Schizosaccharomyces pombe: one gene and its partners. The protein of the gene in region 3 interacts with the protein of the main gene of each other region in a biochemical or structural test. Each region holds a gene or a part of one and is shown on either strand. Other genes may lie near its edges. The genes, in order: cam1, kms2 and pcp1.

Region 1 (4,498 bases), 1.8 Mb from region 3:
CTTAGTCGTAATGAACCCAAATCATCATAAGTGATATCTTCTGGTAATAATTCGTGAAGCGTTTCTACAAATTTAAATTCATTATTCCCAATATTTTTGATAATTAGAGAATTATCATTTCCATTCGACATAGAGCTATAATTAATTTAGTTATGGTAATTGCTAACCCTTGATTCCAAAGTGTTATGTAATACAGCGCAGTATAGAACTCGAAGCTTTTTTTTTGGCAATTTTAAAGAAGAAAATTTCGTATAGTTAGGTACAAGTTTTCGACGGCGAAGGGATATACGAAACCATATAGCGGGTGGTTGATGGTGAGAGGAAGTTAGGTTGGCTTGAATAGCAAGTAGGAGGACATTGAGGTTTAGAACTGATAACTTTGTAAAAACTTTTTGAATATATATGTACCATGATGTTGAATTTTAGATAAGTTTTAACTTCACTAACTTGAACTTTACCGGCGCAGAGCCTTCCTTCTTAGGAAATGTCCATATTCCAATGATGAATTTCTGTTTACGATCGGAATAACTACGTGAAATGCAAAAAGAAAATAAACGATGTCATTTATGAATTTATGTTTAGTTAATACGTATAGCTTAGCTTCGACAAGTGCCGCACAAAATTTCATACTGAGAGATGTATTTGTATAAAGTAATGTATTAAGTACAAAACAAAGCGTATATCTACCAGAGTGAGAAAACGGCTTCAAGAAGTGCATATAACTAGAAAAATGCTAAAAATTTTAACATCGACTAGTATAATGAACAGTAAATCTTGAAGGAAAAAAGAAAAGGAAGATTGAGCTAAATAATGGGCATGGGAATTGCAAGGACATAAATGCAACGTATACAGCGAGTACTAGGCACATACTAGTACGAGCAAATGCATCATATAACAGACAGATGAAGCTTCTAATAATTCATTGTAGGATGCAATAATGCAAAAGTGCGTGGTATTCTCATAGCAATAACGTATATGTTCCCAGACTTAAGGATTCCTTTATGTGTTGAAACAAAGGAAGCGTTAAAATTCATAGGATCGATCATGAGATGAATGGTAACAACAAATGCTACCATAGTTACTTTTGTGACACACCTAGGCCAGCAAAATAAACAACCAAAACGTTGTAATACACTAACTAATGTTTTTCAAAATCATAGACGAAAAAAAAAGTAAAGGACAATAGCCGAGGTTAAGTTGGTAAAGAGATTGTCCAAATTGCGATGGAGAGTGGTTATAAAGAAGAACTAAAAGGGTGGAAACCCCAGCAAGGATATTTTGATTTTTTTAAGGCTTACAAATATTCCACAGAAATTCCAACCCTTCTACTTGGAAGAAATGACACGAGAGAATTCTTCGTAGTTGATTACACCATCGCCATCGGTGTCGGCTTCACGTATCATATCGGCTACTTCTTCTTGAGACAAACGTTCACCAAGACTTGTAAGCACATGAGTCAACTCCTCGACTGTAATGTATCCATTTCCATCTTTATCGAAGACTTTAAAGGCTTCGCGAACTTCCTCTTCGTTGTCGGTATCCTTCATTTTTCGGGCCATCATAGTCAAAAATTCGGTAAAATCAATTGTGCCATTACCATCGGCATCGACCTCATTAATCATATCTTGTAATTCGGCGGCAGTAGGCGATTGACCTAACGATCTCATAACTACACCCAATTCATTGGACGTGATATTTCCATCCTGATCACGATCAAACAGTGAAAAGGCTTCACGGAATTCTGCAATCTGCTCATCTGTAAGGTTACGGGTAGTCTGTAATAATGTACGATACGGTAGACGACTTCAGAAATCATTTTCTGAGTGTCATCCGTTCATACGATTGTTAGTCAATCTTCAAAGGAAAAATCGGAATATGTCCAAACAATATAATAAACATACCATTTTCTGGTAAAAATCAGTAACTCTAAAGTCCTTCTATTCCTTTTTTTAACCTTTATTTTTGGCGGTTAGTGTTTTGCTCTAGTTACGTTAAAGTGCCTTGGAGAAATGAGGACTACCGTTGTCGCTTCCTAATGTTGCAAGTCCTACCATCAACAGTGATGTCAACAAACAATGAGAGTTTATTACATTATCGTATATGCTCTAACAAACCAGTAACGTACTTGCTATAAACCGCACTAAAACCACTAAACGGCGGATGAAGGAACTTTTTCAATGTCAGCTACGCATTTATTGGTATCTATTTAACGACACCTAGAACTGCCGTGTGGTTTACTTGTGACCTATTGTATTATGGTACACAGGTAAATACATTTAGTAACTTAGAATGATATTCTGATATAGAGGTTATATTGTTACCTATCACCGAATTAGCATAAAAGTGAATAGAGAAACGAGGTTTTGTTTATTTCAATTCATAAAATTTAAGCATTCTATTATTTTTTTTGTTATTCATTTTATAACTCTTAGTAATCTACCTAAGTAACTTATCATGTACAGCTTGACAGAGCAAATCAAACATGTGATAATTAGTGATACACAACGTAGTATGCTATAGCGCAACGGAACGTTGTCGACATTCAACTTATATATCGTACTCGATGTTTAAATCGCAAAAGGATTTAACAAAAAATATTTGTAAATGCAGTATTTGGAAATGGTTATTACAGCGCAATTTTTTGCTGAATGTAAACAGAAAATCGTGTTTTTCACTTTCCTCTATGAGGTTGAGTTAGTGATATTATTATTCATGATATGAAAATATTGTTTTCATTTTGATTTATGGAAAATTAATTATTGAGCAGATTTACAAACACTGTCACGGTTTAAAGTCTCCAAATAATTGAGCAAAATGACATAGCTTTGAAAAATTTGCTAAACAAAAGCATTTTTGATAAGTGCAGTTCATTAAAAGGTTTTTTTGCACGTTTATTATGAATTGCATTTTTGTTGTGTAGCATAATCTGCTTTTGTATTTTTTGTATATGCCAATTTTGATCTGATAATTTTTCTAGTTGAACACTCAAATGAAGAAGGAAAACTGAAAAAGTAAATAACAATATATTATTCAAGCAGGATTTCATTGCCTGTATATATTTCGATATTAATTCTTTTCTAAATGATTTATTCAATGTATAAAAATCCAGAACCTCAACATCTGATACAATGACCGTAGCCGAATTTATTGATTTTAGTCTGAACGGATATTTTAATCGAATAAACAATATTTGTTGTTATTGATGTAACACAAAAAAAAATAAAAAAATAAATTCAAATTGAGCATTTTTTTGTCTTTAATAATCATAAATTTAGACGTCTTTTGTTTTTAAAGATTTTATAGTTTATTCTCATAATTTTAAATTTTTGCACTTCCTGTTTAAAGACATCTCTACAGAATGACCATGAAAATTTGAGTATAATTCCTTAAAAGATTCAAATTTATAAATCTCAATTGATTTAATAAAATGCTGTGAAATGGGAAGTTTAACTTTTAATAATTCGAGGTACTCATATCCTTCATAGAAAAAAAATAAAAAAATAAAAATAAAAATAAACATATAAAAAATAAAATAATAAGAATGATCGAGAATTTAAAGTATTTATTGTTGAACTCTATCAGTACGTGTGTTTGAATATTTTCCTACTCAATTCATCTCGTAATTTTGTTGTGCAACTACAATAAATTCCTTATTGAACCACATACCTTTTTAGTAGACTGTAAAAACCATCAAGTGAATTCCAAATGGATAGCTGGGGTAAGCTATATATGATTCTACATGTTTATTAACTGAAATGAAGAGGACTTTTTAGTAGAAGATCCTGCAAAGCCTGCAGAGTTTGATTTCCCCTTAGGGAAGGATAGTCAATCCTCTTCCAAGCCAAAAAAGAGATTTGACGACGAAGAGGATGAAGATGAAGAAGAAAACAAAGAATCCTTGCAAAATGATTCTCATTCAGTATCCCAAAAATCCTCTTCATCTAGCCAAAATGATCAAGGCTCTAACAAAATGACTCGTATCCAACAAAAAATTCAGGAAAGAAATTTCGAAAAAGCCATTAAAGCAAGTGAAGCAGCTGCGAAGGAAGAATCACTAGAAAGTTCCAAAGAAGCTATGCGACAAGCCGAAATTGACTCTGACTTGGCAAATGCCATGGACTTGTTTGACATCGTTGATAAAAACTCAGCAAGTGCAAACCGCTCCAAGCAAGCTGATCAACGACAACTCAAAACAAAAGCCGACTATGCAGCTTTCCAAGCTGATATTTTGAAGAAGGTTAAAAATTGTCAAACCACTGCCGAGTATAATAATTTTGTGCAAGATTTAATCCCTTTATTGCTTACCGGCCTTAATGCTACCAATTTGAAGGCAGTTCAGAAATCAGTGAATAAACTTGTAGTCAACAAAGAGCAGCAAGAAAAAACTCAATCTAAGAGAGGTGCCGCTGCTCCTGCTGCCAAACCAGTATCAACTGCAGCTCCTTCTAAGAAAGGAGGAAAACCTACGGTCAATGTTAATTCTAAAAAAACCGTTGCT
Region 2 (4,993 bases), on a different chromosome or scaffold from region 3:
ACGCGATTTTCCTCATCAATACCTTGATCATCCAAATTCCCTTTTCCTTCCAAACCCGGAGATTCCTTATTCTTTCGAAGCATCTTCTCCTTATAAGCACTCATTGATTTCGATTCTCGTTTCGGCAATGTTCGTGAAACGGCTGGAAATCCCCTAGCATGCCGCTGAACTGACCTCTTCACTTCAACAAGTTGCTTCGGCGGTTTTTCAACAATATCACCTATCACATTTGAGAATACACTCCTGTGATTCTCCATAGCGATTGAATTTTGAAAATATCTGCTTTTTGTATGTAGATGTTTCCTTTTTATAAGAATTTAAGGGTCAATTTCTTCAAACCTCACGAATAAAGCCCTCTGAGATAGTATTATGAGATTCTGATTAAATGAATAATAAATACTTCAACCTTATGAGTTTTTTCTCCCTTTCACTATTTACATACCATTTGGTAGATTGCAGGGATGGTTACGTTTTCTCTCATTTTCTTAGCTATTTTGCGCTCACAAAATAACGGTACATCTCACTATATATGATAACGTAACTGTAAAAATTGATTTATTGTATGGAAAAAAAACTAAATGTTTACATGATATGAAAAATGGATGGTTTTTTCCTTTTTTAATTCAATACTTTTCATTTAATATTAAAAGTGCATAATAAATAATTAATTCGTGAAAAAGTTTTCTAGTTATAAAAGAGAAATTATGAGAAAGATAGTATCCGAGTTTAATAGGACTTGGGCTATCCTTGAAGATTAAAGAAAGAAAGAAGTTATTAGAAGAAACGACATTCATCCAAAAAGAAAAAATAGAGAACAGAAAAATGAGTGGCGAGTAGAAGATTAGACAAGAAAAGAATGATAAACACTAAAAATATTTCGTCTCAGAGAAAATATCTTAATTCAAACATAAAAACGAAAAACGTCGCTTTAACCCTTTTTCATATGACACACCTAAAACCAAACGCAGATGAGATGCGACTAATTATTAGCTCAATGTAAACTTCTTGTCCGTTGCCTATCAGGCGAAGAGTTAGAAGATACAGATCGTCTTGAATTGAGCAGAGCCCCATAAATACATCAATTATTCCAATATACATAAATCTTGAATCAATGTTCAATTATAGCAATTAAGTTTGGAATCCGTGCTTTGAAAATAAAAATTGGATTAAACTTGAATCTAAGATTCATGTCGGAGACCAACGATTGTCGAATTTTGTAGATGGTAACCAAAAAAGAAAAGGCCATTGTTGAATTGTTGCAACATGAAAAAACAAAAAATAAAAAATATGAATTCCGATGATGAACAACAATGAAAAAAATAAGACACGCAAAATTAAAGAATTGGGGAGTGAAACTTTGGAAAAAGCATTAGAGAGTATGGTGGAGGGAGATAAAAAATCTTTGGAAGACTTCTTTTTTAAGTTTTCGAACTTCTTTAACAGATTTTTTTGACTTTCAAGTTCTGATGCCAGTAAAGAGAGACCAGCGGCAAATTGGGAATCGTTCAAAGTCTCCGTTTTAGGGATGTAAGGGATGTGAAAGAAAGGGCTGGGAAAAGTAATTTTTAGATTTTGATACGGAGGGTGATTTTGGAAGGGTTGAGGCGCCTTTTCCTTAAAAAATAGTCTCAACTGCTCGTTTTCCAACTGAAGATGTGCAACCTTTTCTTCTAAAATCATGTTTGACTCCATAAAAGCGCCTCTTTCTTTTTGTTCCGACAAAGATTCTTTCTTCATGTAATCTGTTTCCTATTAAACAAATTAGTAAACTGGCTTGTCTCTACCTCGAATAAGGCATATTCTTAAAAATCATACCGTTTTCCTTTCCTTTTCTACAGCATGGATTAGCTCTTCCATTCTCACAATATGGGCTTGCTGTTGCTCATACTCTTCATGAATGGTTTGTAATTGAGCTGCATACTCCTTAGAATCACGAAGAGCTTCACGAAATTTTTTCTCCCAGGTTTTCGCTTGGGTATAACAAGACTTGCAAGCTTCTTCCGAAGAATCCAATTCCTCCAATAATTTTGCATTTCGCGCGTTTAGTTCTTTAACTTGCTCGTCTTTAGAACGTAATTCTGCCGCTTGAAGCTCTATCCTTTCATAAAGCTGTTGAATTAAAGAATCATCAGCATTTTCCTTGTTTATATGAGAAAATCCTTTATTTGATCCATATTCATTTTTAGTTCGAAACATTGACAAAGGGGTTGAATGACTCAAAGGTGATCCTTTTCTTGGTGTTATGTAACTTGCGTCTTGATAAAACATATCTTTTCTCTTTATTCGATTTTCTGATATTTTTTGAGGCTTCGCTACACTTTTTCTTGGTAATACCCCATTCTCGCGCAAAGCTAATTTGTTTACAGGAAGGGTATCAGGGTCAAGACCAGTTAACTCATAAAACAAATTCTTAATTTCACTCGTAGACACTACAATCTCACTGTTATCTTTTATAAAATCTTGGGCCGATTGTCTTTGCTCATTATCAAGCAAAGGGGCCTCTGGATTAAGTCGCAATGCGTCAACATCGTCGACAATTTCTAAAAATGCTTGAATGGAAACCTGTCGAAAATTAGAAACTATTTTTCAAGTAATGAGAAATTACTTTTCCTGTATAATCTGGGTCGTATTGGCGCACAATATCGTCAAAAGGGATGTATTCATCCATTTTGATTGTTTATTGACATGTGCTTTGGTTAAACAGAATTAGTATAAAGGCAGGTTTGTTAACGATAACTTGTGCGATTTTCTTATTTTTGTAATGTAATGCAGAACAATACGTTATAGAAGTTGCCTTAAAAAAGTAAACAAAGTGCAAGTCAAAACATAAACAGGATATTTTAGCAAAATGTTGCAGTACGAAATGTATAAAATTGTTAGCAAAATCATCTTCAAAATAAATTATTTTTTACTGATTGAGTTAAAGTGGAAGGAAAGCTTTACACTTACCTTTTTTTAAAAAACAAACAAATAAATAAACAGATAAACAAATGTGATCCGTTTCTTGAATCTAGATTTACTTAATTGAAGTAAATAGACTACTTAACTTAGAAAATTTACTACAATCATAAACAAGTGAAATTCTGCTCTCCTTTATTTTACAACGATGCACAAAAAGTTAGTCAGCGTTCCGACTAATTGGCGGTAGTAGAAATAGTAATTATACAAATTCTTTAAAATTTTCTAAAAAGTATATTAGTATCAAATTTTTCTTTTGACTATTTCACTGATTATGTTAGGCTATGGATTAATAGCTATTGAACTCGGTTTTCTTTGCATGGAATAAGCAAACTCACATTAAAAGTTGGTAAGTCGTTTTTAAAAGAGATGAAAAAGCTTAACTGTGACGATTATATCTCCTACTTCTCTATTCAATTACTGACAGCTTACACATAACAATGATAATATGGAGGATCGTGTTGCTTCAATGGTGCAACGATATTTTATTTAGGAATTTCAGTAATCTAAAACATACTTAAAAATAAATAAATCTAAACTATAAGCTTATCGAATTCCCAATACTCGTTCACTAGTACACGGAGTCTTTGTCTACCTCTCCTTAACCAAACTGTTGAAAGCTGAGAAACCTGTGAAACTATTTCTAAAAATCATTCAAACTAGGACTTTTATTGAACTTATGCGGTGATTGAAGATCCCTATGCAAATTGTAGGCTATTTGTCTGCAGATTCGCAGAGTAATCCTGATTTAAAATCCGAAAATGAAGCAAAAGAAGAAAAGCCTATTGGGAGGAGACACACAATGTCACCAGTCCCTGCCACATCTGAAAATAAATATTTTGGCAAATCTCCTTTGTCAGGGTCTCGTAAACCTCGAAGAAGCCGATCACTTCATAAGGAACGTAGCTACATGAGGAAATTCTTTGATATGGATATGGAGGAAAGCAAAGACTTTGAAAATGATCAATCTTTACTAGTAACGCTTAAAGTATCGACTTCCTTGGGTCAAAAAATTGAGAATATATTACACCCAAAACTCAGCAATGATACCAACTCAACTGCCTTTCCGCCTGCTAAGTCGTCGGGAGAAGCATCAGATACTAATATTTTAGTTGAGAATATTAATTCACAGGAAACAGTTAATTCTTCCCCCCTTGTTTCCGAGTTACATTATTCAAACTTAGCAGATTCACCTAGTAATCTGCGAAATACTGTCACATCCATGCACCCGTTTTTCATGTCAAAGTCTGTGAAAAAGAATTCTGAAATCAAATTTGTAAGTGAAGAAAGAGGCGGTACTAAGCCAGAGAGGTTACTTGATCCATTATGGCCGACACCCGATTCCCAGAGTATGTTAGAGTATGCCGGCTCTATTGAGCCGAGTGTTTTCTGGTTTCCGAAAAAGCATTTAGAAGAAGCCATTTTAGAAGAGACCTCTCATCTTTCGTTTAAGGAGGTTCTTTCCTCCACCACCGCGAATATGATAACCCCATTAGCTGAGAAAAATAAAACAGAAGTATTACAGGTTACTCCTTCTAAACTTCATACTTTTGCTTTGGAATCGTTGTGCTTTTCACCGGCTCCTTTTATTCAAAAGGTTTTGTCAAGACTTTTGCCATCAGATCCTAATGTTGAAATGCCAATGATCCCACAAATATTAGAAAAAGGACTGTGGGTGTCAAAATATGCTCCATCTAAAACACAAGATTGCTGTGCGTTCTCTCAATGCCTTTCGAAGATAGCGGATTGGCTAAGGTCATGTAGGTTGACCAAACCTGAAAGCTCATCTGTACCTCCTTCATCTTCTATATCTCGATCCTCGACTATTCATTCTTGTACATCTTCTAAAAGAAATGAAGATTCTCTTTCGGAAAGTGACTTTGAACCGGATATCATTGAAGAAGAAGATGATTCCGACGAGTTCAATCCTTCTGTGTCGCGTAAAAAAGCAAAGCTTACATCTTCTCAATTTTCTAACTGGATGCTTGTTACTGGTGTTACGGGAATAGGAAAGACTTCATGCTTATATGCCATA
Region 3 (6,660 bases):
TTATTCTTCTACCTTTAAATTATTATTGACTTTGTATGATTCAACGAATTATAGTAGAGTTACTTTCCACCTACGTCGCATCAAGGGTATAAAACGACTTCATCTTAATAGATATACGTACTAATCAATTTTAGATTGCTAGAAGTTCTACATTCCAACGCCTGGTGAAAAGCGGAATTCGCAGAGTTGGACAAGAAATCCCAAATTATGAAGCTAAAGCTCCGCTGGAAAGGTCATCAACGATTTTTAACAAGGCAAAACTCTTTGGTAGGCTTTATTTGGAGTCCTCTAAAGAATACTTTTTCAAAAAGAAATAGTATTTTAAACAATCAAGTTTGTTTTGAAGCTATTAAATACATCCAAAGGCATTATTTCAGCAGTCAATCGCACCATGTAACCTATCTTCACCAGTCGCCGCTTGAGAAATTGGTGAGTAATGGCGTGGTAAACGAGAACGGAGATTTGACCATGGATTCTCTTTCTCATCAAATATACCTATTACACAAAAATCGCCCCACCTTACCATTAAAACCAACTAACCAGCCTACGAGATTTGCATCTGTTTTGATGCCTCTAGTAAACACTTCTCAAGGAGCTTCTTTACTACTCACGCAACGTTCTCCAAACTTGCGTTCTCATGCTGGACAAATGTGCTTTCCTGGTGGCCGTGTGGAACCTTCAGACGGTTCTCATTATTATGCGGCATTAAGAGAAACTTACGAGGAAATTGGATTCCTCCCTAATTTTTTTACTTACTTGACTACTTTCCCTCCATTATTCACCAGAGATGAAAAGACTGAGATTCGGGCTTACCTTGCGTTTTCGGTGCAAACCTCCCTTCCTTCACTTGGGACAGGTGAAGTGAAAGATTTATTTTACGTTCCTCTCACCTCTTTTTTAAATCCCAAGCACCAAAAGATATCTCGATTTCGTAATACGGATTTGCTTTATGTCGAATTTAACATTGATAAGATTCCAAGAATTTGGGGAATAACAGCGGTTATATTAAATATGTATCTTAATTCTATTTGCCCGGATGCTCTTATCTCAATCCCAAAGTTTTGATTTTACGCTTTAATACCATTACTACATAGACTTAATTAATATTTATTTTTTCTTCTGTTATTAATAGTAATGCTTGATAATAAAGTCAATAAATTAAAATAATTATAGTAGTAGAATTAATTGAATGTTGTTAAAAAAAAAGAGAGTAAAAAACGTAAGTATCCCAGATTAGTAGTTTGCGGTCTTTGCCTTTGCGGCAGCTCTTTGCAATGATTGTTTCAATTGAGCTTGTTTTAGCCACTCATTCTTCATTCGCTTCATTCTTTCAATTGAACAAACAACGATAATTAGACTCTTCAGCTTTATGTGTTTCTTAGATAAATCAGGATCAGGTGAAATTCCAATTTTCTGCAGCATACGTAAATTTATTTTATTGCATGTTTCGTATCCTGTTAGTTGCATTAAAATAAATTTTTTTGAAAAGGCAAGGTCCAAACGAAGAGAGTGCTCTCTTCGACATTTCGATTGAAGATATTTAGTCAACTTAGAGAGTCCCTTTATTTCAGATTCGTATTGCCCTGACTGTGTGGATTGCGGAGTATTTGATTGTAAATTCTTATAGCGTGCACGTAATTGATTATAGTCATCTAACAATGATTTATATTCTTTTCTATTACGTTCCAAAATAGTAGACAGATGATCGATATTGTTAGTCTTAGACTGAAGAGCCTCCCTGAGTGTCTTAAGCATTAATTGGCTTTCGTCGGTAACATTGGAAGTCATCAATTCAGCTTGCTTCATAAAATGATTGTTATAAACCTCTAATTCCTTCTGGATTTCCTTTAGCCTTTCTTCCAGTTCATTTTTATCTTGTACTAAGTTGTTCTGATAATTAAACTGGTTTGATCGATAACTTTCAAGCTCATCGATAAGTATCGAACGTTCTCTTTCTAACCATTTAATCTTTTCCTGCAACTTGGTTGTTTGCTTATTATAGCTGGAAATATCATCCATGAGTAAATTTCGATTTTTTAGTTCATCTTGAAGCGCAAGCTTTAGATCTTCAATCGTTTTCTCAAGGTACTCGATTTTAGAAGTATGTTCAGAAGGATATAAATAGCCATTCTTCCGATCAGGAGAGCTAAAAAACTTTTGGGCAGCGTTTTCCAAGTCATTCATCTTCTCACTAACGTTTCGATTTCGTTGTGCAAGAATATCATGCTTTGTCTCAGTTCCCAATCCAAATTTTTCAAAGCTTCTACTAAGTTCCTGTTCCTTTTTACCAGAAAACTGTACAAAATCATGCCGTAACTCTTGCTTCAACGACCGAATCGTTTGGATTTGTTGATTGACAAAATGTTCAATTTGACTGACTATCTGCAAAATACTCACCGAAGAATAATCACATCCCATCAAAAGGCATAGTCTCTTTTTGACAGCATTTTCTTCTATATTCGCCTCCTCAATTCCCCTATTTAAGTGATGCACAAGTTTATCTAGCTCCATTTTGTCAGATTCTAAATGACGAATTTGAGCAAGCTTGTCGGCCAACTCGCTATTGAGCACATTTATTTCTTTATTTTTCTCAATATCATCATTTGATCCAGATCGTATTTTTCTTTCTTCGAAGAGTTTTTTACTTAATTCGGATAGTTCTTCCTCCCTCCGGTCTAAGAGGTTTTGGGCATTTATTAATTCATTTTTTAGCGAAGAGTATTTTAACTCCAAAGCCTGTTTTTCGTTGCTCATTAATTCAAAACTAGCAGATAGCTTTTGTCCAGCCACTATGGCTTCTTCTCGTTCTTCTTCGCTAACATCTAATTCGTCTTTTACGTCGGTAAGCTGCCGCTGAAGTACTGAAATTTTATCGTTCAGAATTTCCATTAAATTTGTATTATCAAGGTCTTTCGCATTTCCAGATAAATATTTCTTAATGGATTCTCTTTCTTTTTCGAGCATTGCAACTGTCTCTCGTAATGAACTAATGACCAAGTTCTTCTTTTCCAAATTTGAAGTCAACTCTTTCTCTCGATCTTGTAATTTATTAATGGATTCATGAAACCGCCGCAAATCGTTGTCTTTATACTGAAAAGCATTCATCACTTCATTATAAGTTTCTTCTTTATCCTTAAGCTTATTTCTATATTCATCAATAGTACCGTTTAATTCAGAAACGTTGACTTCGTATGACTTGATACGTTGTTCTAACTCATTTATTAAACGGTCTTTCTCTTTGGTAATAGAGTCAATCTTCAAAGTTAAGCCTTCATTTTCCTCCCTAAGATCGTGTATCTCGTTTAAGTCATTAGAATTCTTCATTCTAAGGGTTTCCAGTTCTTTAGTGACTTCTTGCAATCGGATATTCGTTTCTGCAAGTGCTTTATCTGAATTTTTAGAGGCAAGAAGACGTAAATGATTCTTCTCTTCATCTATTTCACGATTTTGCGTACGTAAAGACTCAATTTGGTTACCCAACGAGGAGGTCATCAACCGTAAACTGTTATTGTCATCTTCCAAAGTTTGGAGTTTGGATTCTAGCACGTCTCGTTCTTCTTCCAAGCTTCTAAATTGAAGCATAATATCTTCAAAGTTTTTACCTTCTTCGTTCATTCGACTAATTTGATCATGTAAAAATTCGATTTCTTCGTTCGCTTTGTGTAATTGTTCTTGAAGGGTATGTACTTGCATGGAATCTGTCAAACCAATTGAGGCCTCGGATTCATGCATTATCTGATTTTCTTTCTCTTTTTCGAGATCGGCAGTAAGCACTTGTATTCTATCCGCAAATTCATCACATTTGGCTTGCAAAATCGCATAGTCTTCTTGAAGATGTACGTAGCTTGAATTCTCCTCATTTTCAAAAGCTGAAGAGCTATTCTCCTTTTCCTCAATCTGTCTTTTCAGGGTGGCAATTTCGTCTTCTTTCTCAGTAAGCAAATCTTGAGCAACATCTAGCTCTTCCGATAATTCATCAAGCCGATTTTGTAACTGTCGTATTTCATATTCATAATCAACTTCCTTGTTACTTTTATCCTCTTCCATCTCTGTAGATAAACTGTCTTTTTCCCTTTGAACTTTTTCCAAGGCATTCTCCAAAAAACGAATGCGCTCCGTAAAAACTTTTACATTCTGGGATTGCTCGACATCATTAACCTTAGATAAATAATCGACCTTCTCTTCTAATTTGAAATTCTTGTCTTCAGACTTTTGAAGTAAAGATTCAGTTCTCTTAAGCTGAAGCTGTAAGTTTGCTCGTTCGGCATGCAACTCAACATTGTCTTTGACAGCTTCTTTTATCTGTTCGGGAGCCATAGACTCAAGTCGCTTTTCCAAACATACAATTTTGATTCGAAGTCCAAAGTTTTCTCTGCTAACTTTCTCAAGGACCTTTTCTTGCTCACGAAGAGTAAGGGCGGCATTTGCAGGCAATTCTCCATCTGTGTGATCTATTTCGGAATTTTTCGAGAGATCGGTAAGCTTGGAAACGTCGTAAGAGTCATTTCCCTGACTGATGCTCAAAGCTTCTTGAGTAGCTTGTTTAGATATAGCAGATAACCCGTAGGAATTAGGGTCAAAAGAGCCTTTATCGCCCAAACTCCCGTTGTATTTATCTGAGTTTTTATTTGAAGACTGTAATAATGGAGTAAATTCCAAACTACCTTTTGGTTGATAAGAGCCGTTGCGCAAAGGCGTCTGGAAAGATGATTTATCATTAAGGTACGAACCACGGAAATCAGAATAATCATCGTTATTATTTTTGAGTGATTTCCCCAAAAAATCAGATTGGCTGATCACAGAATTCGCGTTTTCATCTTTAAATTTGGGAGATTGCGTATTAAAATCTCGTTCAGACATAACGTAACTGCGGATGCATGTATTTATTAAAATTATCCACCAACTAGCGCAAGTGCATAAAATTATATAGAAACTACTTATTCTGGCAGAATCATTAAAAAGCAAAAATGTTGTTGATTGTAGTTTGTTTACAGTCGTCAAATGATCAAATAAACTACGAAACAGCTCCCTAATATAAGTAACAACATATCGTATACTTTCGTTATATCTTGTAAGGATGCTAAAAGTCAAAAGGCGAGATTGTAGATATGAAGGATTATCGAATGTAAAACTGCCTTGATATGTTTATTGTACTCAATACAGAATAGAAGAGATAGGAATTTTATTCGGAAGAAGTATTTGGTGCTCATTTATTTATGTATAAATTGATAAAATCATCGATAGGGTCCAAAACGTAAACATGAATCTAAAAACAACTCAGATAAGTTTCAGCAACAAGACGAGCTCTTCCGTTCAAGAAAAGTTTCATCTCACTAATTTCAGCGTCAACTTCCTCCATAAACTCAATAATGAAATCAACTAATTTGTGCTTAAGCATTTCCTCAGTATGGTAATTAGTTATAAGAAAGGAAATATCATAGCCCTATAACAAAGAAAGGTTAGTTTGATGATATTTACAAATAGCAATGGCAACTTCGAAAAAGAAAAAAAAGAAGAACTATACAATGGCTGAGGCAGAACAGTGAACACTTAAACTAACGCAAAATCTCTAGAAATTCTTCCCTTGAACACTTTTTTGCCAATTACAATTTGTAATAACGTACCTGAACAGGTTTGCGGCGCAAAATAAAGAAAGATTCTGCACGACCCATTAAAAACTGCATAAATTTGCGCACAAGAATTCGTTCAATTTCATCGACTTGTTTAATACGAATGCTGAAACGAACACTAATTTCATAAATGCATCAGTAAAAAAAATCCAAATAATGAGAATGACTTTCAAAACTCCGTTATTCCAAATCGAAAGATCAGTGAATGTACCAGTTCGAATCGGAAACATCGGATGCCTAAGACATACCTATTAACAGAGCTCTCAATCAAACACTGTTCTTGCTCATTACGAGAGACCACCAGGGGCTTTAGTAGAATTTCAGGAGACCGTCCAACCTCAACTTCCGGCTGACTCTGGCGTTCTACAATTTCTGATGAGAATTCCTCTAATGCTAAAGAAGCAGTCAGAGTAGAACGAACTGCGTTTAAATAAGGTCTTAAGGTATTAGACTATGCCTTCGTTAATAAATCATATCTTTTTATAACAAAAGAATTCCTCTCTTACCATAATTAGAATCTATGGAGTCAGTCTCCGGGTTTGGTTTTGTGCTAACACGTAGTGTCAGTGTGATATTGCTTAACGAGTTTAGCGGCACAACCACGCACGCTGCGTGGTGTTACCGAAAATGAGTATATAGCTCGTTACTGTATGGCCTTCACCAAGTACCAGCAACATATATAATAAGTATAATTTGCAAAGAATTACAAAAAAAATTATATTGGGCTTAAACAAGTATTTCTTTCATTAATTACAAAAACCATTTATGATGATTCCCATAGCAATTCGTTGGCAAGGGAAGAAGTACGACTTAGAGATTGAACCTAATGAAACAGGAAGCACCTTGAAACATCAACTATACTCGTTGACACAAGTTCCTCCGGAACGACAGAAAGTGATTGTCAAAGGTGGCCAGCTTAAAGACGATGTTTTGCTTGGTTCAGTTGGTATTAAACCAAATGCAACTTTATTAATGATGGGTACTGCAGGCGAACTACCAACAGCTATGCCCATTCCAGCTGTCGAGTCAG

The links.
Region 1: the proteins of pcp1 (region 3) and cam1 form a complex in vitro, tested with the Schizosaccharomyces pombe proteins (2 studies listed by BioGRID).
Region 2: the proteins of pcp1 (region 3) and kms2 form a complex in vitro, tested with the Schizosaccharomyces pombe proteins (one study listed by BioGRID).

What each region holds. Positions count from the first base shown.
Region 1 is NC_003424.3:1,442,336-1,446,833, reverse strand, and holds cam1 (calmodulin Cam1), read right to left. Parts: upstream 1,985-4,498; 5' UTR 1,905-1,984; coding exon 1,902-1,904; intron 1,776-1,901; coding exon 1,326-1,775; 3' UTR 501-1,325; downstream 1-500. Other genes in the region: GARP complex subunit Vps53, read right to left, coding at 1-131; tif310 (translation initiation factor eIF3j (p35)), read left to right, coding at 3,706-3,718, 3,762-4,498. UniProt on the Schizosaccharomyces pombe protein: Calmodulin mediates the control of a large number of enzymes, ion channels and other proteins by Ca(2+). Among the enzymes to be stimulated by the calmodulin-Ca(2+) complex are a number of protein kinases and phosphatases.
Region 2 is NC_003423.3:646,322-651,314, forward strand, and holds kms2 (protein Kms2), read right to left. Parts: upstream 2,699-4,993; 5' UTR 2,669-2,698; coding exon 2,606-2,668; exon of another isoform or gene 2,563-2,605; coding exon 1,816-2,562; exon of another isoform or gene 1,750-1,815; coding exon 1,186-1,749; 3' UTR 615-1,185; downstream 1-614. Other genes in the region: rba50 (RNA polymerase II-associated protein), read right to left, coding at 1-257; DNA replication factor C complex subunit Elg1, read left to right, coding at 3,659-4,993.
Region 3 is NC_003424.3:3,253,306-3,259,965, forward strand, and holds pcp1 (gamma tubulin complex linker, pericentrin/kendrin Pcp1), read right to left. Parts: upstream 4,976-6,660; 5' UTR 4,861-4,975; coding exon 1,234-4,860; 3' UTR 1,096-1,233; downstream 1-1,095. Other genes in the region: pcd1 (coenzyme A diphosphatase), read left to right, coding at 208-1,065; ARP2/3 actin-organizing complex subunit Arc4, read right to left, coding at 5,267-5,443, 5,625-5,748, 5,879-6,081, 6,137-6,139; ubiquitin hydrolase Ubp6, read left to right, coding at 6,396-6,660. UniProt on the Schizosaccharomyces pombe protein: Spindle pole body component that binds calmodulin. Overexpression of pcp1 causes the formation of supernumerary SPB-like structures and disrupts both mitotic spindle assembly and chromosome segregation.